3 linked regions of the Saccharomyces cerevisiae S288C genome follow. The protein of the gene in region 1 interacts with the protein of each later gene in a biochemical or structural test. Each region holds a gene or a part of one and is shown on either strand. Other genes may lie near its edges.

Region 1 (9,555 bases):
CCGCATAAAGCCAGCCACTACTGGCGTGGAAAGATTTTTAGATTAGAAGACAATACAAAGCGGCAACGTCATAACCTTGGTATTTATTGGGCAAGCATTTTCATATCAGCGTACATACACCAGCAATGGGAATGTAAAGAAGAGTCGTTACTAGCATATTTTCTATTCATGCGGGTACCCAACATGTCACGTTTCACGAATTCTCGTGCAGTTTTTCAGCGATGAGCTAAGGCAGATGGTTATGGACTGTGCCTTCTGTAGTCTGTGGAAGAAAAAACTGGTTAACAGCCTACAGTAGAAATCGATTAATATAAACATATATCTAGCAACGTAACGGAGTATTAGATCAGTAATGGAAGATATCGAAAAGATAAAACCATACGTTAGGAGTTTTTCAAAGGCGTTAGACGAGCTGAAACCAGAAATAGAGAAACTAACGTCGAAGTCACTGGATGAACAGCTGTTGCTATTATCTGATGAGAGGGCTAAATTAGAACTAATTAATCGTTACGCGTATGTATTGAGTTCTCTGATGTTTGCTAATATGAAAGTCCTAGGCGTCAAAGATATGTCTCCTATACTCGGCGAACTGAAAAGAGTAAAATCATACATGGATAAGGCTAAACAATACGATAATAGGATAACCAAATCCAACGAAAAATCGCAGGCAGAGCAAGAAAAAGCTAAGAATATCATTTCCAATGTTTTGGACGGTAATAAAAACCAATTCGAGCCCTCTATAAGCAGGAGCAACTTTCAAGGGAAGCATACGAAATTTGAAAACGATGAACTGGCAGAGAGTACAACGACTAAGATTATTGACAGTACCGATCATATAAGGAAAGCAAGTAGTAAGAAAAGTAAAAGATTGGATAAAGTTGGAAAAAAGAAAGGAGGGAAGAAGTAGAGGTCGACGTATACTGGTACATGAGTGAAAAAATGATTAAAGGTGATGTGAGAGCACAAATGCAAAAATGCTTATAGGGTTTATATACTTTTATAATAACAATAAGAACTCGTTGAAGTAACTAATATGTGTATATGCTATTCTTGTAGTTGGCAGTGAACACTTTTGTGTGAATTGACGTTATATAAGACTGTAGAAATATCTAAGAAAAGAGAGTTTTCATAAAACCCTTCAAGCTTAACTACCAAAAAGCATTCATACTTAGAAGTTGAAATGCACGATGATGCCAAATTGATGAAAAAAGCTAAAAATGCATTTCAGAAGGGAAGAAAATAATAAGCAACATAACAGAGGGAATAGGTGCGCTTAGTCTTGTTGCTGTAAAATTAACCAATTATTCTTGTATTGTTCTAACGATCCGACCATTTCATCCTGAATACTTGTCTTCCTGCCAGCTCCTAATTTTTTATCGTGAGTGGAGCCAGCGAAAGTTTGAGCATAAATTTCATAAGGACCGAAAATTTGCCTTTCATCCGGGGAGGTTGACGAGGATTCGTTGTCACCACCTTCCATTTTGCCATGTGCCATCTTGTCACTTTCTCCTTCGTATTCTTCGTCTTCGAAAATTATGGCGTCATTGTTAGAGTCTGCGAATACGTCTTCATTTTGCAACGCAATCGTAGTGCTTGAATGATTACGAGGTAATAAAGGTTTAGGGAAGCCAACGAAGGAGCTTTTAGCTCCTGGTGAAGAGGACAACTTCTCGAGTGCTTTATTCATATGCAGTGGGTTAGATTCATTAGCACTGGAACGCCTGGAATTGTAAGATCCACCAAAATTAACAGAATTATGCGAAACTGACAACGTGGCCTCGTTACTTGTCTTCATATTCATAGGAGGTACCTGTGTTCCCAAGTTGAAACTCTTCCTATGATGAGGTGGAACATAAACCCCATTTTTAAATTTTTGTTCCATACTGAGTCTACGCTCCTGCTCTAGCTCCTTAGAGTCAGATGAGTGTGAATATCGATTGCCAATATTACCTGTTAAAATTGGATCAATTGGTCCAGAAGATAAATTTAAATGTGCTTCAGATGATGCTGGTGATTTTAGTAAATCTGGTAGTTCATTAGATTCATTATTGTTATTGTTGATATGCAATGATGTTGTCAAAGGAGGTGGAATATATTGTCTATGATATTGATTAGTGGTACTATTGGTGTCGATATGGTTGTTGTTGCCATTGTTATTGTGATTAGTGCTTGCGTGAACAAATACTTCATTATGGCTACCTACCGTTGTATGCGGTAAGTGATCATTTATAGATAAGTTGTCCATACCATTGACGAAATCATGATCACCTTCTTCAAGAGTGAATAAAACGTCGTCTGAATCGTGATCGCCCTCAGAATCCATACTATCCTGAGTGTAGTGTTCCTGGTATGAAGGCTTCCCACCTAAAACGGTAGAGATATCAGGAGCAGTTGATTGCGGAACTCTTAAAAACTGATTCGTTGGGCTTACGTGATGGTTCCTGGCATTTGGTGGAATATAAGCGCCTGGTGAATGTTGAACTGTAGTCGTAGAACCACGCCTTGCATAACCATTTATAGAACTATTGTTGTTATGATTATAGCTCATGTTGTACCTTGAAAGTGGTGACTTACCGGTATAACTGGAGGAACTTGGTCTTCTGTATTTGTTAAAGTTTTTGTTCCAACCCTTTATATAGCTATTACCATTGTTAAAATTATTATAATTACTTCCATGATTGTTATTGCTGTTGTTGTTATTATTGTTGTAATTACGATTCTGTCTGTACTGTTTATTGTTGTTGTTGGAAAACCCCTCCATATACCTGTGCTGGACACTTGGAGGAGTGAAAAAATCTCTGGTGTTGAATTCATCCCTTGCTTTGTAATCGTGGAAAAAATTATTCATGTGTGTATTAGGCGTTGGTATGCCAAGAGGCTTCCTTGATTTTTTCAAAATTTTACTTTTCTTTCTATCTTCGATATTGACTGGTTTGGAAAATTGATTATCAGTTCTTCCGTACTTATTGCGCTTCTTAAATTTGAACTTAGGAGCAGATTTAGCCCTTTCATGAGTAGATAGTGTTGTATTATAACCCTGGTTGAAAAATTTCTGTTGTTGTGTAGACGGTTTTTTAAAGAAGCCGCTTGCAACATTTTGATTTTGAGAGACATCTGACCGTTTCCTTTCATTCACATTATTGAAATTGAAATCCTTTTTAAATTCAGGCATATGTTGTTTGTTACTAGATGAAATAGGAGTAGGTAATGATACCGGTGCTGAAGATGGAGGAACAGGCTGAGGTGGCAAACCGTCAATCATAGTTTCTTCATATCCTTCATCCAAGTTATTATAGTATTCATCGTCTAATGTATACTCAGATAAGTTCTGTAGTTCAGTTCTCATCATTTTCAAGTCTCTATTAGCCGGATCGATGGTTAAACTATACCTTAATACTTGAAAGAAATCATAAGCCATTGTCGAAAATACATCAAACAACGCTTCTCTATTAGCAGCAAAATAACAGAATGACTTGTCGGATTGATTGGCAATACTAAAAGGATTCTTATGGAAAACAATATTAAGAAACACAATTCCCATAGCCCATAAATCCACTTTGGCACAGTCATAAGGTTCCTTTCTTTCCTTGATATCCAAATTACTATCAAAAAGTTCAGGGGACATATATCTTTCACTACCGACATTTCTATCCATAGACGTCTTATCTGTAGTAGCCAATCCCCAATCTGTAAGCTTAATTGTCCAATCAATTCCAGAAATTAAAATGTTCTCAGGTTTTATATCACGATGATAAATGCCCTTGTTATGAACATATTCAATTGCATCCATGATTTGTGTGATAATATGAGTGATCGATTTGGTTTTCTTAGGCACAGCATCGGCTTTGATCGCCTCATATAGGTCACCGCCAGAGCAATATTCCATGATGATGTAAGAGTCGAAGAAATCTAATAGAGCAGCAATATTTTGGTGTCTACCAATTTTTGTTTGAATATCAACTTCATACATGGCTTCGAGACAAATGTTATTAGATAGTCTTGATTTAACTTTCGAAGAAATTAGGGACTTTTTGTGTTTGTAGAGATTGTGTTTCTTCTCTCTACTTGACCCGTTATTACTGGAGGCATTACCATTTTCATTTTCATGGCGATCCGTATCAACTTTCGTGTCTTCATCATCATCACAATCGCTACTATCACAATCATTTTCGTCGTCCTGAGGCCCATCGTACTGGCCGTCATCTTCTAATTTGAAAATGTATTTGACTGCAACCAATCTTTTCTCTCTAACATCTTTAGCCAATGATACATAACCATATGAACCTTCACTGATATCCTCTATTTTTTGATATCGATTATTCAAAATACCTCCTTCTTTGTAAATCTCGTAATCTAAAGTCATCGAGTTTCAAAAAATTGTAAGAAAAAAATATTGCACTAACTTTACGTGTCTTTTTGTTTTGTATTTGAAATTTCTAAGTTTTTGGAAGTTTTTAATTTTTTTTTTCCTTTTTTATTTTAGGTTAAAGTATAGTGAAAGAATAGTAGGGTTAACGGAGAGAAAGAATCCGGTAATATGCAGTCTATAAGGCCTATAAGATTTGATGGCGGGTATGAAGCAGGTTTTTTTTTTTTGGCTTTTTCTTCTAAGAAAAAATTTATAGAGAAAAGATGTCTTTAATTATAACCTATTCTTTTTTTTTTTGCCAGCTAATACCAGTAAGTTTTGTTTTTTTGCGACACTAGATTGGAAGAGTAGAATCAGAAAATGAACCTTCTGTAAGTATAAAGAAGTCTTTTTTCTCTTTGATACTACTGTATTCGTGGTGTCCCTTTTCAGAAAACTATAGCTTTGAGCCTGTATGCTATTTTTCTATTTCCTTCTTTGCAGTTCTTTTTTGAGCAGAGAACAATATCCGGGTCACGTGAAAGTTAGATAAGCATGCAAAGATAGCCAGAGAGATTTCGAAGTTGAATAAAACAAGGGAATGGGTCACTTGTTATATTCTTTACAGATTGAGAGTGCAGTAATATTCTGCGGACGCCAGTAAGTACTGTTTGAGGTTGTATTTTTATAGTAGAGGACACTTGAGACTGTGTAAAATGCGCTCACCAAAAAAAAGGGTCTGTTTGCGATCAACAAACAAATAATAAGATAAGTTAGGGAAAAGAAAGGTGAACACTGTTGCGGAATGCGTGGACTGCTTGTGTAAAAATGCTAGTAATGAGGGAAGTGTGGACTTGATATGGCCTGTTGTGGAAGCCTGAGAGTTCTTTCACGTGCTGTGTTCGGCCCGCCTATATAGGGACAAATTGTTAAAAAGATAAATAAATATAATCTGCCTCGGAAGGGGTTGGGAACGCCCGGCAGTAGCGATGAGGGTAACGGGACGATATTTAGAAGTGAATGCTGAAATAAATGGTGTGAAGGCCTCTTGTATGTCGTCTCATATAGGGCTAAAACGAAGCCATCGTGCACAATGGTAAGTTCATTCAGTGTTCCCATGCCAGTAAAACGGATATTTGACACATTTCCGTTACAAACATATGCTGCGCAGACTGACAAGGACGAGGCCGTTGCATTAGAAATACAGCGGAGGTCCTACACATTCACAGAACGCGGTGGTGGAAGCTCTGAGTTGACTGTGGAGGGGACGTACAAGCTAGGTGTTTACAACGTTTTTTTGGAGGCAAATACAGGGGCGGCATTGGCCACAGATCCATGGTGTCTGTTTGTTCAGCTTGCGCTGTGTCAAAAGAATGGTCTAGTCTTACCCACGCACTCGCAGGAACAAACCCCATCGCATACCTGTAACCATGAAATGCTCGTTCTGTCCCGTCTTTCTAACCCCGATGAGGCCCTACCTATTCTAGTTGAGGGTTACAAGAAGAGAATTATAAGATCCACCGTGGCAATCAGCGAAATTATGAGGTCTCGGATACTTGATGATGCTGAGCAGTTGATGTACTATACGTTGCTGGATACCGTGCTGTACGATTGTTGGATCACGCAAATAATTTTCTGTGCCTCAGATGCGCAATTCATGGAATTGTACTCTTGCCAGAAGTTAAGTGGTTCGATAGTCACTCCATTGGACGTAGAAAACTCTTTATTACAGAAGTTGTCCGCAAAGAGTTTGAAGATATCCCTAACAAAGCGGAACAAGTTCCAGTTCCGCCATCGAGAAATCGTCAAGAGTATGCAAGGAGTTTATCACAACCATCACAACTCCGTTAATCAAGAGCAGGTCTTGAACGTTTTGTTCGAGAATAGCAAGCAAGTTCTTTTAGGTTTAAAAGATATGTTGAAAAGCGACGGGCAACCCACTTACTTACATCTGAAAATTGCAAGTTACATTCTTTGTATAACGAACGTTAAGGAACCCATAAAGCTAAAGACATTTGTTGAAAACGAATGTAAAGAATTGGTCCAGTTTGCACAAGACACCCTGAAGAACTTCGTTCAGTAATCACTTTCAAGCTGTAGTATGTAAACGATATAGATGAAGTTTTCGTGTGTATAAATATATGAACTCTAGAGTGTTGCATAATTTGAAACACAGCATTTCTTTTCGGAGAGCTCGTTTCAAAATGAAACAAACGCCGTTGTCCGTTTTCGTCTCAATAGAAAAAGTGAAACAGATAAAAATTGTTTTAAAAGAAACGAATTTGCAACATCTTAAGATATATCAAAACTAATACAAAACAGCCTAAAAAAGATTGAACAACTCTTCGCGGTCAGGTCTCGACACCATAAATCGAAGTACTCGTACGCTAGTTTTCTCGCACATAGTACCACTACGTTCCTTTTACAATTAGATTACTTCTTTTTAGTTGACTTTTTTGAGACGTTCGTGCCATTCATAAAATAGGAAAAGATAACAGGTAAGCACTGAAGACTTGTTTTATAAGTGTCCCAAGCGAGACCTAGAGTGGATATTGATATTTCTCAAACAAGACTCGTCGAAGAAAACACACTTTTATAGCGGAACCGCTTTCTTTATTTGAATTGTCTTGTTCACCAAGGATGAAAGTCCAAATAACCAATAGTAGAACAGAGGAAATCTTAAAAGTTCAAGCTAATAATGAAAACGATGAAGTCAGTAAAGCTACTCCGGGCGAAGTTGAAGAATCGCTAAGGTTAATCGGCGATCTAAAATTCTTTTTAGCCACAGCGCCGGTAAATTGGCAAGAAAACCAAATTATAAGGCGATACTATCTGAATAGTGGACAAGGCTTTGTCTCTTGTGTATTTTGGAACAATCTATACTATATTACAGGTACTGATATTGTCAAATGTTGTCTTTACAGAATGCAAAAGTTTGGGAGAGAAGTAGTTCAAAAGAAAAAATTTGAAGAGGGTATTTTTTCAGATTTAAGAAATCTCAAATGTGGTATAGATGCAACTTTAGAACAACCAAAGTCCGAATTTTTGTCGTTTCTATTCAGAAATATGTGTCTGAAAACCCAAAAAAAGCAGAAAGTATTTTTTTGGTTCAGTGTAGCACATGATAAGTTGTTTGCGGATGCGTTGGAAAGAGATTTAAAAAGAGAAAGTTTGAATCAGCCTTCAACGACTAAGCCCGTTAATGAGCCCGCCTTATCTTTTTCATATGATTCCTCATCTGATAAGCCTCTCTACGATCAGTTACTTCAACATTTAGATTCTAGAAGACCATCTAGTACAACAAAATCAGATAATTCGCCTCCAAAATTAGAAAGCGAGAATTTTAAGGATAATGAGTTGGTAACAGTAACTAATCAGCCGCTTTTAGGCGTTGGCCTCATGGATGACGATGCGCCAGAATCCCCCTCTCAAATTAATGATTTTATTCCTCAGAAATTGATTATAGAACCCAATACTCTCGAATTGAATGGTCTCACAGAAGAAACGCCTCATGACTTACCCAAGAATACCGCTAAGGGCAGAGACGAAGAAGATTTTCCTCTCGACTATTTTCCTGTATCTGTTGAATACCCTACGGAGGAAAATGCGTTTGATCCGTTCCCTCCACAGGCTTTTACGCCAGCTGCCCCTTCCATGCCTATTTCCTATGATAACGTGAATGAAAGGGATTCTATGCCCGTTAATTCTCTTCTTAATAGATACCCCTATCAGTTATCAGTGGCACCCACTTTCCCAGTGCCACCATCATCATCGAGGCAACATTTTATGACAAATCGGGATTTTTATTCATCTAACAATAACAAGGAAAAATTGGTATCTCCTAGCGACCCTACCAGCTACATGAAGTATGACGAACCAGTTATGGATTTTGATGAATCTCGGCCAAATGAAAACTGTACAAATGCAAAATCTCACAACTCTGGCCAGCAAACTAAACAACACCAATTATATTCTAACAACTTCCAGCAATCTTACCCAAACGGAATGGTTCCAGGATACTACCCAAAAATGCCGTATAATCCCATGGGGGGGGATCCTCTACTCGATCAAGCCTTTTATGGCGCGGACGATTTTTTCTTTCCACCAGAAGGATGTGATAACAATATGCTGTATCCACAAACTGCAACTTCATGGAATGTTTTGCCCCCTCAAGCTATGCAACCAGCTCCAACCTATGTTGGGAGACCATACACACCGAATTATAGATCGACACCAGGTTCCGCGATGTTCCCATACATGCAAAGTTCAAATTCCATGCAGTGGAACACTGCTGTTTCACCTTATAGTTCGAGAGCACCATCTACAACTGCTAAAAACTATCCTCCTAGCACATTTTATTCTCAAAATATAAATCAATACCCACGGCGAAGAACTGTGGGAATGAAGTCTTCACAAGGAAATGTTCCAACAGGTAATAAACAATCTGTGGGCAAGTCTGCAAAAATTTCAAAGCCTCTACATATTAAGACAAGTGCTTATCAGAAGCAATACAAAATCAACTTGGAAACGAAAGCCAGGCCAAGTGCTGGTGACGAAGATTCTGCTCATCCTGATAAGAACAAAGAAATTTCGATGCCTACTCCGGATTCCAATACTTTGGTGGTCCAGTCAGAAGAAGGTGGAGCTCATTCACTTGAGGTAGATACCAATCGAAGGTCCGATAAAAACCTTCCAGATGCAACCTGATATAATATAATTTTTGAATTTATGATACAAGAATTAAAAATGCGGGCCAGAATTTAATATTAAACAATACTCAGAAGAAAACAACAAGGACAATCTGTTTTTATAAATAAAACAATCTTATACAAGACTAGAGCAAACAAAAAGCAAGAAAAAAAGGTAATAAATGTAACAAATCTATTAACGTTAGAAAATAACAAAAAAAAAAAAAGAAAAAGATAATATAATATAATACCTTTATATATGTGATTTATCTAGCGTCACAGTATGTAATATAAATATCAATGAGTTTCTTAACATGACCTCCAAAACTACATGATCGCTTAGTATTACAATATGTGTTTATCCACTATTTTGATACCAACGTAGTATTGCCTTTTATTTTTCAGAATGGCAAAGGCCATCGGAAAATTTTTCCACCAGAAAAAGCGAGATTCCTAATTATAAGGTGAAGGCATCGATGTTCATAATAGTTAAAAGTTGTAATCAAAAAAGAAAAAGGT
Region 2 (5,892 bases), on another chromosome or scaffold:
GTTACATCATTTCTTATCACGTAAGACTACTTATTGTCAAACTTTTTATGAAGTCATAAGGTGGACATATGAATAGTGCAGTTACCCTTGTTCAGGAATGACACCTTGTGCATTCCAGTGAGAAAGGAATGTTGACTAAAACAGTAGCTGTGCTTTTTTTTTTCTTTTTTGCCTTTTTATTCTTAATGTTCAAGAAAACTTTCTTTCCATGGAATGTATGAGGACCCTTTATTTTGAGGAATGGGTTCGAATTTATCATGCAAATTGGCAAGAATTTACTAAGTGGACTATATTTAAAGAGTTGAATTTTACGGTGAAAGTAAATTAACGCTACTTCTGTTGTTTTGGAAAAGCCAAGTTCAAGTTTCTTTTCTTGATTATTTATTCTCGTAACGATTTCGCTTTTCCTCTCTATATATTTTCCTACTCCATTCTGTAAAGAGCTTCCAGAACAAAATATAAATAAATAAAAAAAACTTCTCTTCAGGCAAGAGTACGTTCTTCGCTGGTTTCCTACAGAATCAAAAGAGTACTGCAGCTTATTGTACACACTTACAATATTCAAAACATGTGTGGCCTACTCGGTTCCTGGCAAGGTTAAGCCAAGTGGTGTAGTTACCAGAAAAAAGTGAACACATACAAGATACGATGCGTAAGTACATAAGGTATGACAGCCTGTAACAAATCCACGTTAGATTTATATCTTCTAGGCTGAGAATCTGGCAGGTTTTAGCAAAACATATATAACTTGCTCTCATTAAGCGGGCTCACTGCTTAAGCGATTGTTACCTGGAACTACAGGCAAGTACAATAGCCTCCTCCAGCTTTTGACTCTGAAAAAAAGGTAACGAAAGAAACTTTTCACACAGATAGGAACTATTCTAATATTACAGTAAAGCCAGCTATGGAATAACAGGTGGCATGTGCCCACTGTATTCATGTATGAGCGGCCTTTTTTTTCCACGAAAACAGATATGATGATGTTTTAGGCCAAAATGGTGAGATCCTTTTACAGGAAGATTTTACGCCAACTCTTTCCATTTAGTGACACAGGTGAGGGTCTTTTATCGGCGCAAGGTGTTTCAGATGAGCCATTTTGCCCGTAGTCCGGTTTAATCAGCCTCATTGGAATTCCCCGGCACCGCTCGCATTCCGCGTACGACTCAAAGAATTTCCCATTGAATTCGGGAATGTGCGTGTTTCAGATTGCGTTTGCTTATTATTCTGGGAAACTCTCCGGAAACAAGCTGAGCTGGACTCCACGAATGGTCCCTCACAAGGCTCTTGGCTCATGCACAGTTAAAAAGCACCTGTAGCTACCATCAGCAATCCATGGTGCTGGAGTTTCTCTCGATGGTACGGCCCATAGCTGGAGAAAATAGCTTATTACCAAAAAAGTAATTCCCCCGCAGAGGTATATATTAAGTTTGAAACAAAAGGCTTGCTTAATTTTTTACATATGACAACCCTTTTCTTACTTTTATAAATGTTTATGAAACAGGAGATTCTTCGACTGGTGCCAGATTCCTCCCATATCGACAAGAAGAATAATCCACCTATTTCAACAATTCTGATACCTGTTTAACCATGAGTCTTAAAGAAGACGACTTTGGCAAGGATAATTCTAGAAATATAGAATCATATACTGGTAGAATTTTTGACGTATATATACAAAAAGATTCGTATTCACAGTCGGCCTTGGATGATATGTTTCCAGAAGCCGTAGTTTCAACCGCCGCTTGTGTGAAAAATGAAGCGGAGGATAACATCAATCTCATAGACACGCATCCTCAATTCGAACTGGTAAATACTGGACTGGGTGCTAAATCGGACGATTTGAAATCTCCATCAGCAAAGGCTACGTTCACTGACAAGCAGAGGAAGAATGAAGTACCAAATATATCTGTGAGCAACTACTTTCCCGGACAAAGTAGCGAAACGTCGTCAACAACGGAATCTTGGACTATCGGTTGTGATAAGTGGTCAGAAAAGGTAGAAGAGGCATTCCTTGAGGCACTTAGACTGATAATGAAAAATGGGACCACAAAAATAAAAATAAGAAATGCCAATTTTGGAAGAAACGAGCTGATTTCATTATATATCAAGCACAAAACCAACGAGTTCAGAACCAAAAAGCAAATTTCTTCCCATATTCAAGTCTGGAAGAAGACCATACAAAACAAAATCAAGGACTCGCTGACCCTATCATCAAAGGAGAAGGAGCTTCTACACCTTATCGAACATGGCGCTGAACAAACTACTGAAAACTCAAACCTGTTTTATGACATATTTGAAGAAATTATCGACTCTCTACCTTCAGTCAGTGATTCTGGAAGTTTAACCCCTAAAAACCTCTATGTAAGTAATAATAGCAGTGGATTGTCAGTACATTCAAAACTGCTTACGCCAATCACTGCTTCCAACGAGAAAAAAATTGAAAATTTCATAAAAACTAATGCTGCATCTCAAGCCAAAACCCCCCTCATTTACGCTAAGCACATTTATGAAAACATAGACGGCTACAAGTGCGTTCCGTCAAAGAGGCCTCTTGAACAACTTTCCCCCACGGAACTCCACCAGGGAGATCGCCCCAATAAGGCTAGCTTTTCCAACAAGAAGGCAATCCTGGAGAGTGCAAAAAAAATCGAAATAGAGCAGAGAAAGATAATCAACAAATACCAAAGAATTTCCCGCATACAAGAACATGAAAGTAATCCTGAGTTCAGTTCCAATTCCAATTCCGGTTCAGAGTACGAATCGGAGGAAGAAGTAGTCCCAAGATCAGCCACAGTCACACAACTCCAAAGCAGACCAGTGCCATACTACAAGAATAATGGAATGCCCTACTCACTCTCCAAAGTACGAGGAAGGCCCATGTATCCAAGACCTGCTGAAGATGCTTACAATGCCAATTATATTCAAGGTCTGCCCCAGTACCAAACATCTTATTTTTCGCAGCTGTTATTATCATCACCCCAGCATTACGAACATTCTCCACATCAAAGGAACTTTACGCCATCCAACCAATCGCATGGGAACTTTTATTAAATGTCTACATACATACATACATCTCGTACATAAATACGCATACGTATCTTCGTAGTAAGAACCGTCACAGATATGATTGAGCACGGTACAATTATGTATTAGTCAAACATTACCAGTTCTCGAACAAAACCAAAGCTACTCCTGCAACACTCTTCTATCGCACATGTATGGTTCTTATTGTTTCCCGAGTTCTTTTTTACTGACGCGCCAGAACGAGTAAGAAAGTTCTCTAGCGCCATGCTGAAATTTTTTTCACTTCAACGGACAGCGATTTTTTTTCTTTTTCCTCCGAAATAATGTTGCAGCGGTTCTCGATGCCTCAAGAATTGCAGAAGTAAACCAGCCAATACACATCAAAAAACAACTTTCATTACTGTGATTCTCTCAGTCTGTTCATTTGTCAGATATTTAAGGCTAAAAGGAAATGTTGTCGAGACTATCTTTATTGAGTAACTCGAGGGCGTTCCAACAGGCCAGATGGCGCATTTACCGCTTAAAAGTTTCGCCAACTGTGCATGCTTCTCAATACCATATTCTTTCTGGTAGGAAACTTGCTCAATCTATTCGAGAAAAAGCCAATGATGAGATACAAGCCATTAAGCTTAAGCATCCTAATTTCAAGCCTACCTTGAAAATCATTCAAGTCGGGGCCAGACCAGACTCATCTACGTACGTGAGGATGAAATTGAAAGCTTCAAAGGACAGCAATGTAGACTGTATCATAGAGAAGTTACCAGCAGAAATCACTGAAGTTGAGCTTTTGAAGAAAATTAGTGACATCAATGATGATGACTCTATCCATGGGTTGCTAATTCAACTACCTCTACCGCGTCACTTGGATGAAACCACGATTACAAACGCTGTGGACTTTAAAAAGGACGTTGATGGGTTCCACAGATATAATGCTGGTGAATTGGCTAAAAAAGGAGGGAAACCATACTTCATACCATGTACTCCTTATGGTTGCATGAAATTACTTGAAGAAGCTCATGTTAAGTTAGATGGTAAGAACGCCGTCGTGTTAGGCAGATCAAGTATCGTCGGAAATCCAATTGCTTCGTTGTTGAAAAATGCGAATGCCACTGTTACTGTCTGTCATAGTCATACAAGGAACATTGCAGAAGTGGTCTCCCAAGCTGATATAGTTATCGCAGCTTGCGGTATTCCTCAATACGTTAAATCAGACTGGATTAAAGAAGGCGCCGTGGTTATTGATGTAGGTATCAACTACGTACCTGATATCAGTAAGAAAAGTGGGCAAAAATTAGTTGGTGATGTTGATTTTGATTCTGTAAAGGAAAAGACATCTTATATTACCCCTGTTCCTGGTGGAGTGGGTCCAATGACTGTCGCTATGCTTGTTTCCAATGTACTATTAGCTGCTAAAAGGCAATTCGTGGAATCTGAAAAGCTTCCAGTTATCAAACCTCTTCCATTACACTTAGAAAGTCCAGTGCCTTCAGATATTGATATATCAAGAGCTCAGAGTCCTAAGCATATCAAGCAAGTTGCCGAGGAGTTGGGAATCCACTCTCACGAATTAGAATTATACGGCCACTATAAGGCAAAAATTTCTCCAAATATTTTTAAAAGATTAGAATCTAGAGAAAACGGTAAGTACGTCCTTGTTGCAGGTATTACTCCGACTCCATTGGGTGAAGGTAAATCCACTACGACTATGGGGTTGGTGCAGGCTTTATCCGCTCATTTAGGGAAACCATCCATCGCGAACGTTAGACAACCATCTCTTGGCCCAACCCTGGGTGTCAAAGGTGGTGCTGCTGGTGGTGGTTATGCCCAAGTTATTCCTATGGACGAGTTCAATTTACATTTGACCGGGGATATTCATGCTATCAGCGCTGCGAACAATCTTCTTGCAGCAGCTATCGACACTAGAATGTTCCATGAAGCCACTCAGAAGAATGATAGTACATTTTACAAGAGACTAGTTCCAAGAAAAAAAGGCATCAGAAAGTTTACCCCATCCATGCAGAGAAGGCTTAAAAGATTGGATATTGAAAAAGAAGACCCTGATGCTTTAACACCTGAAGAAGTCAAAAGATTTGCTAGATTGAACATAAATCCCGATACTATCACTATCAGAAGAGTTGTCGACATCAATGACAGGATGTTAAGACAAATTACCATTGGCGAAGCCGCTACGGAGAAGGGTTTTACAAGGACCACTGGATTCGATATCACTGTTGCCTCTGAATTAATGGCCATTTTAGCTCTATCTAAAAGCTTACACGAGATGAAGGAACGTATTGGACGCATGGTTATTGGTGCTGATTATGATAACAAACCAGTAACAGTAGAAGATATTGGCTGTACCGGTGCTCTGACTGCATTATTACGTGACGCTATAAAGCCTAACTTAATGCAAACTTTGGAAGGGACCCCCGTAATGGTTCACGCTGGTCCTTTCGCCAACATCTCCATCGGCGCATCATCAGTAATTGCAGACTTAATGGCATTGAAGCTTGTTGGTTCAGAAAAGAACCCGTTAAATGACAAGAACATCCATGAACCTGGTTATGTAGTTACTGAAGCAGGATTCGATTTTGCCATGGGTGGTGAAAGATTCTTTGATATCAAATGTCGTTCCTCTGGATTGGTGCCAGATGCAGTTGTCTTAGTCGCAACCGTAAGAGCTTTGAAATCTCATGGAGGTGCTCCAAATGTTAAGCCCGGACAATCATTACCAAAAGAATACACAGAGGAAAACATCGATTTTGTTGCCAAGGGTGTTAGTAATTTGGTTAAGCAGATTGAAAACATCAAAACGTTTGGAATACCAGTCGTTGTAGCAATCAACAGATTTGAAACAGACTCACAGGCAGA
Region 3 (5,686 bases), on another chromosome or scaffold:
GAGACCAATTATAAGAGCAAATAACATGCATATAAGATTGAGGTAAAGAGATATTATCGCTATTCCAACGAATATGAGCTCTTGGTGTTGAGATTTTTCCCTTGGTAGTTTCAGGAGGCTACCATATATTATTACATTGTTTTCTGAAATCTATAACATGGGTGTCTAATTATATAGAGAGTAGCAGGAAATCTTCGACGAGTAAGTCCAGCATGGAGTTACTCTCTTATTATTCCCACACCAAATCCTATTCCTATGCTAGCAAAGATAGCTAACATCTCTATACATCCTAATACAAAGCACAATGTCCTGAACCATTGTACGTCAATGTCCCATTCAAACCCTTTGAGGAGGCCGATTCTATGTTCATAATTCATTATCATTCTCATTAATCTATAATTTGAAACGCCATTATTTCCATTGATTGAAAAGAAAAAGAATAAGGGCGGAACAAAAAGGCAGATGCACAGTGTAGTTATAACCCTTGGAATACTATAAATCTCGGAGAAGCCATATATTCGGGAATCAAATGAACGTATGGAGGAGGAATCTATTCTTTGAATGGGCATTGTTTCCATTTGAAAACTTAATTGCTGATCTCGATCAATTTCTTGAGGAATTTTTTTATATTGATGTTGCTTAATACTATTGTCACCTTTTCCGACCCCAGAAGCTAAACCAGCTTCTATATTACTTTCGTATTCCTTTTCGTGTAGTTGGTTTGGACTACGCATGGTGTCCATTGCGATACCAAGAGGGACTTGAGGATTAGGAATTTTCTCTAAATCAATTTCGTTGGTATTCTTCTGCCTTTGATCTTGCATTCGAGTTCCAGAGGTTTCATTAGTTGGATTATACTGCCCATTAGAATGCACTGTATTTTTTAAAACAGCGGAAGAACTTCGCTGGTCATTAGCAAGGTCAGCTGCTTCAAAAGGCTTTAATATGTCAATTAATAGGGAATGGTTTCTTGGGGTTTTGAGGCTAGTGGACTTATTCGCTGGTATTCTGTTCCAGGCCTTTTTAGGAATTTGAAATTCATGTGGGATAAACGCTTTATCGGGAAAAGTACCATTTAGCGTGCTGTTAGGAACTCTGCTTTTTGCTACATCAACAGCCCCTTCCACAGGAGAAACAAGATCTACACCATACCGCATAGAAGGAAATGAGTATGTACCTTGTGTTTGCCTTGTAGACTTATTTCCGGAGACGGTAGCCCTTGGTCCCTGGTACGGCGCAGTTCCTTCGGGTGGTGGATAGAATAAAGAAGAAGGTCTGGTTCCCAGTTTCTCGAAGGATTTCATTGAAGATGATTCCATATGATCTCCTCTGGTCGTCCCAGCGTGCTTTTCTGCCGAACCCATATTCAACAGCACCGAAGTAGAGATGGTACCGCTGCTGCTGTGTCCATTTAGGTTAGTTTCAGCGGAAGACCCGTTTGAGGAATTTCTGTTCCTCTCATTTGAATTTGGCGGAGGTAAAGGGAATGCTGCTACTTCTGGATCTCGTCGTACTAAATCTAAAATTGAATCCTCTAGATCTCTATGTGATTCCTGATGGAAATTGTCATCTCTAGCATCTTCAAAGACTTGTTTACCATCAGTACTACTTGAATTTGTATCTCCTTTGAGGATTTCACTATACTTGCTATCATCAATATAAACATTGTATGACTTCACTTCTGATGATGGAAATGAATCAGATCCTTCGATGAACAGCGAACCAGATCTTATTCTTGCTCGCGGTTGATGGAATATTGGGTGGTCGTTCTCAGGTAAAGATGCGGATGAAGCCGTTGCCGATCCAGATGTGGATTTTGAATTTTCTGTCGTTATCGAAACATCTCTGGTTATTTTCGTCATTTCATAGGATGAAGAATGAAATTGTTGTAAAAAAAAAGGTAGTGAACGTATAAAGTTGGATGCTGTCTTCGAAAAAAAAAATAAGGTGTTAAATGAGTGGATGGTTTGGTATGCCTAAGCAAAAAGCTTTAGAAATCAAATTGAAAAATAAAATCGAGGGGAAGCTGGAGATAAAAGTAAGGCAAATGTCAGATAAATAGTTGCAAGGTGAGAGTGTACTATAATCTTTAGTAGTTGTTGTATGGTGATCCTTCGTCACCGTTAAGAAATGGAGGACAATTAAATGGAATACTCTGGGACGTTACAAGGAATAATAGTATGCTAGAATGAAAAAAATAATGGAGTCCTTCTACGTGTCAATGTACGTATGTGGCAATTAAGATAAAACTTTATAACTATACCTTAACTATTCTTGCATATATAATAATGCGAGATAAAAAATCACCAACTTTCTCCCTTTTAGAGAAATTAGCTTTTAGACTACCTTGGCTGGGTATTAGTTGTGAATATTTGGTAAATATGGTCAACTAGAAAACGAATGCGAACATCTAGCCAGGAATAAACAAACCCAGTAAACAAAACTTCTACTTAATACTTAAGAATAGAAAGCACAATGCCAAGACTTACTTGGGAGCCCATTCACTGTTGAATAGTGCTGGATAAAAGGTGTTGATATCGCCTCTTTGATTACAGTCGCGTCAGCTCTCCAAGCACACGCGATGGCTGGTTTTTCTCTGCATTTCCCGTTTAGGCAAAGCAGTGAAGAGGCTCATGAAGCCGCATTTCGTGTACTTCTGCTGGCGAAAAAAAAAAACTTGTTGCCGTGGCGCCATTTCGTTCCTTGCATTTTTCCATTGGCATGCATCGTGCATATGTGAGTTGAAGTTTCTTACTTACATATTGACCTACAGACCACAACGTGTCACTGCTAAGCTGAATATAGGGAAATTTTAGAAGTATGGCAGAAATGTTCTTGTGAATACTATTCCATGGTCTTCATTAGTTCATCGTAAAGCATGTCTTTGAGCATTTCTATGGGCACTTCTTCCTCCTCTTCCGGACGCATTATCTTGTTATCCAGTTTCCAAAATTCATCATCCAAATTAAGTGGAGGATATTCCGGCTCATCACTTGGGTCATGGTACATTGCCAGGTAAGGGTGTCTTAAAGCTTCTGCTGCGCTTATTCTTTTGTCAGGATTGAATTGAAGCATTTTGTCTAGTAAATCTATCATATCTGGATTCAGATCGGTCTTTGACCAGACGGTCTCCCATGGCAAGGGTGGCCTCATAGGTAAGTTTGCTATATACTCTTTAGCCCTCTTGGATTTGATCTGATTAAAGTCTTCGAAAGATGGAGTTCCCAAGACTTCTAGAATTAGCCATAATTGATGATGATAGTCTCTGCCTGGGAACAAAGGCTTCCCGGAGACCATTTCAGCCAAAATGCATCCGCATGACCATATATCCATCGCAGTTGTGTACTCTTGAAAAGTTAGCATTATCTCGGGTGCCCTGTACCATCGCGTTGCGACGTACTCCGTCATGAATCCTACCAATGTTTCTCTTGAATCGCTACTGCTAGCTAAACACCTCGCTAGTCCAAAATCGCAGACTTTGAGATCACAATTGGAATTTAGTAACAGGTTTGATGGCTTTATGTCTCTATGGATAACTTGTGCACTGTGAATAGACTTTAAGGCTCTGAGGATTTGGTATGTAAAGTATTGAACATGGTCATCACTTAAAGTGGAAAACCCGCTATTCTGATTATTAATTACTTTTTGTAAATCGGTTTCCATCAACTCTTCGACTAAATAAACAGCGTTTAGTTTGTCTATGGATACTGGCCTTACTTTATCCAATATACTTATTATGTTTTCGTGTTCATGGAAATACCGTAAAAGCTTGATCTCACGTATAGTTCTTGTAACAAACAATTTTTTGCTAAACGGTTGTATTTTCTTGATAGCTACCTTTATGCCGGAAGGCTTATGAATTGCTGAACATACTGTTCCGTACGCTCCCTCACCTATTAAATCTACGAGTTTATATTGGGAAGGGATATCAAAAGTTATGGTTCTAGCCATCTTTGAATTGTTGAAAGAAAAGTGAAGAAAAGATACTTTTTTGTTGAAATAACCTTTTCTATCTTTAAAAGATGCTTTCTTTAAATTGCCAAATTTTTAGTCGGCTTTTGATCTGATCCAGTGGAAAAGAGGAAAAGAAAAAAAAATACGAAAACAGTTCGGGAAATTTAACGACTGCAAAGCACAATATGTAACTGTTCAAGTCTGGCTTCTGGTCAGATAAAGTGCAATATCTACAGATTGGAAGTACTTTGGGTGTCTTAATAAAAATACATTATATATAGAAATATGCCTCGATCTGTAAATTTCTAACAGCTTCACAGCGCGTTTTGAATGTGAAAAAATCAGGAATGTGGAGGAAAGATGTTCAAAAAGTTCGAATTTGAAGAGCATACTGCTCAAACGGTTGAGGAATTCAAGGTAATCTGAGGCTTCATACATAATAAGTAGCCAATCTTTCTTTCCCCCAAGTAAGTAGCTCAGTATTACTAAGCCGGTAAAAAATAACATCTTTCATTTCTTTCACCAAGGGGAAATAGTAATATACTCATATTTTGGCTGGACTCTCGTAATCTGTCAAATTTTTTTCGTGCCGATTTCTAACTTAAATTTAGTAAATAATGTTAGTATTTACTTTTCAATTGTAGATCTACCTAGTTTCAAGATTATGTAGAAAAGAATGACAAAACATAAATACTGTTGGAATAAAAATCAACTATCATCTACTAACTAGTATTTACGTTACTAGTATATTATCATATACGGTGTTAGAAGATGACGCAAATGATGAAAAATAGTCATCTAAATTAGTGGAAGCTGAAACGCAAGGATTGATAATGTAATAGGATCAATGAATATTAACATATAAAATGATGATAATAATATTTATAGAATTGTGTAGAATTGCAGATTCCCTTTTATGGATTCCTAAATCCTCGAGGAGAACTTCTAGTATATCTACATACCTAATATTATCGCCTTATAAAAAATGGAATCCCAACAATTACATCAAAATCCACATTCTCTTCATGGTAGCGCCTATGCTTCGGTTACTTCTAAGGAAGTCCCATAAAATCAAGATCCGTTAGCCGTTTCAGCTTCCAATTTACCGGAATTTGATAGAGATTCCACTAAGGTTAATTCTCAACAAGAGACAACACCTGGGACATCAGCTGTTCCAGAGAACCATCATCATGTCTCTCCTCAACCTGCTTCAGTACCACCTCCACAGAATGGACAGTACCAACAGCACGGCATGATGACCCCAAACAAAGCTATGGCCTCTAACTGGGCACATTACCAACAACCATCTATGATGACGTGTTCACATTATCAAACGTCACCTGCGTATTATCAACCGGACCCACACTATCCGTTGCCACAGTATATCCCACCACTGAGTACTTCCTCACCTGATCCAATCGATTTAAAAAATCAACACTCTGAAATACCTCAAGCTAAGACAAAGGTGGGAAATAACGTCTTACCACCACACACTTTAACATCAGAAGAAAACTTTTCTACATGGGTTAAATTTTACATCAGATTTTTGAAGAACTCTAATCTCGGTGACATCATTCCAAATGACCAGGGTGAAATCAAAAGACAAATGACTTATGAAGAACATGCGTATATATACAATACCTTCCAAGCATTTGCCCCATTTCATTTATTGCCAACATGGGTAAAACAAATTTTAGAAATTAATTATGCTGACATCCTTACAGTCCTTTGT

The links.
Region 2: the proteins of STE12 (region 1) and TEC1 form a complex in vitro, tested with the Saccharomyces cerevisiae proteins (4 studies listed by BioGRID).
Region 3: the proteins of STE12 (region 1) and KSS1 form a complex in vitro, tested with the Saccharomyces cerevisiae proteins (4 studies listed by BioGRID, with this or other methods).

The regions. Positions count from the first base shown.
Region 1 is NC_001140.6:267,186-276,740, forward strand, and holds STE12 (homeodomain family transcription factor STE12), read left to right. Parts: upstream 1-6,988; coding exon 6,989-9,055; downstream 9,056-9,555. Other genes in the region: LRP1 (Lrp1p), read left to right, coding at 353-907; putative serine/threonine protein kinase KSP1, read right to left, coding at 1,274-4,363; SAM complex subunit SAM35, read left to right, coding at 5,442-6,431. UniProt on the Saccharomyces cerevisiae protein: Binds to the DNA sequence mediating pheromone induction (called the pheromone response element = PRE) which is found in the upstream control region of several a-, alpha- and haploid-specific genes.
Region 2 is NC_001134.8:407,582-413,473, forward strand, and holds TEC1 (Tec1p), read left to right. Parts: upstream 1-1,587; coding exon 1,588-3,048; downstream 3,049-5,892. Other genes in the region: trifunctional formate-tetrahydrofolate ligase/methenyltetrahydrofolate cyclohydrolase/methylenetetrahydrofolate dehydrogenase MIS1, read left to right, coding at 3,473-5,892. UniProt on the Saccharomyces cerevisiae protein: TEC1 is involved in the activation of TY1 and TY1-mediated gene expression. It is not involved in mating or sporulation processes.
Region 3 is NC_001139.9:573,663-579,348, reverse strand, and holds KSS1 (mitogen-activated serine/threonine-protein kinase KSS1), read right to left. Parts: upstream 3,952-5,686; coding exon 2,845-3,951; downstream 1-2,844. Other genes in the region: BUD9 (Bud9p), read right to left, coding at 219-1,862; YGR039W (uncharacterized protein), read right to left, coding at 4,150-4,461. UniProt on the Saccharomyces cerevisiae protein: Together with closely related FUS3, KSS1 is the final kinase in the signal transduction cascade regulating activation/repression of the mating and filamentation pathways, induced by pheromone and nitrogen/carbon limitation, respectively.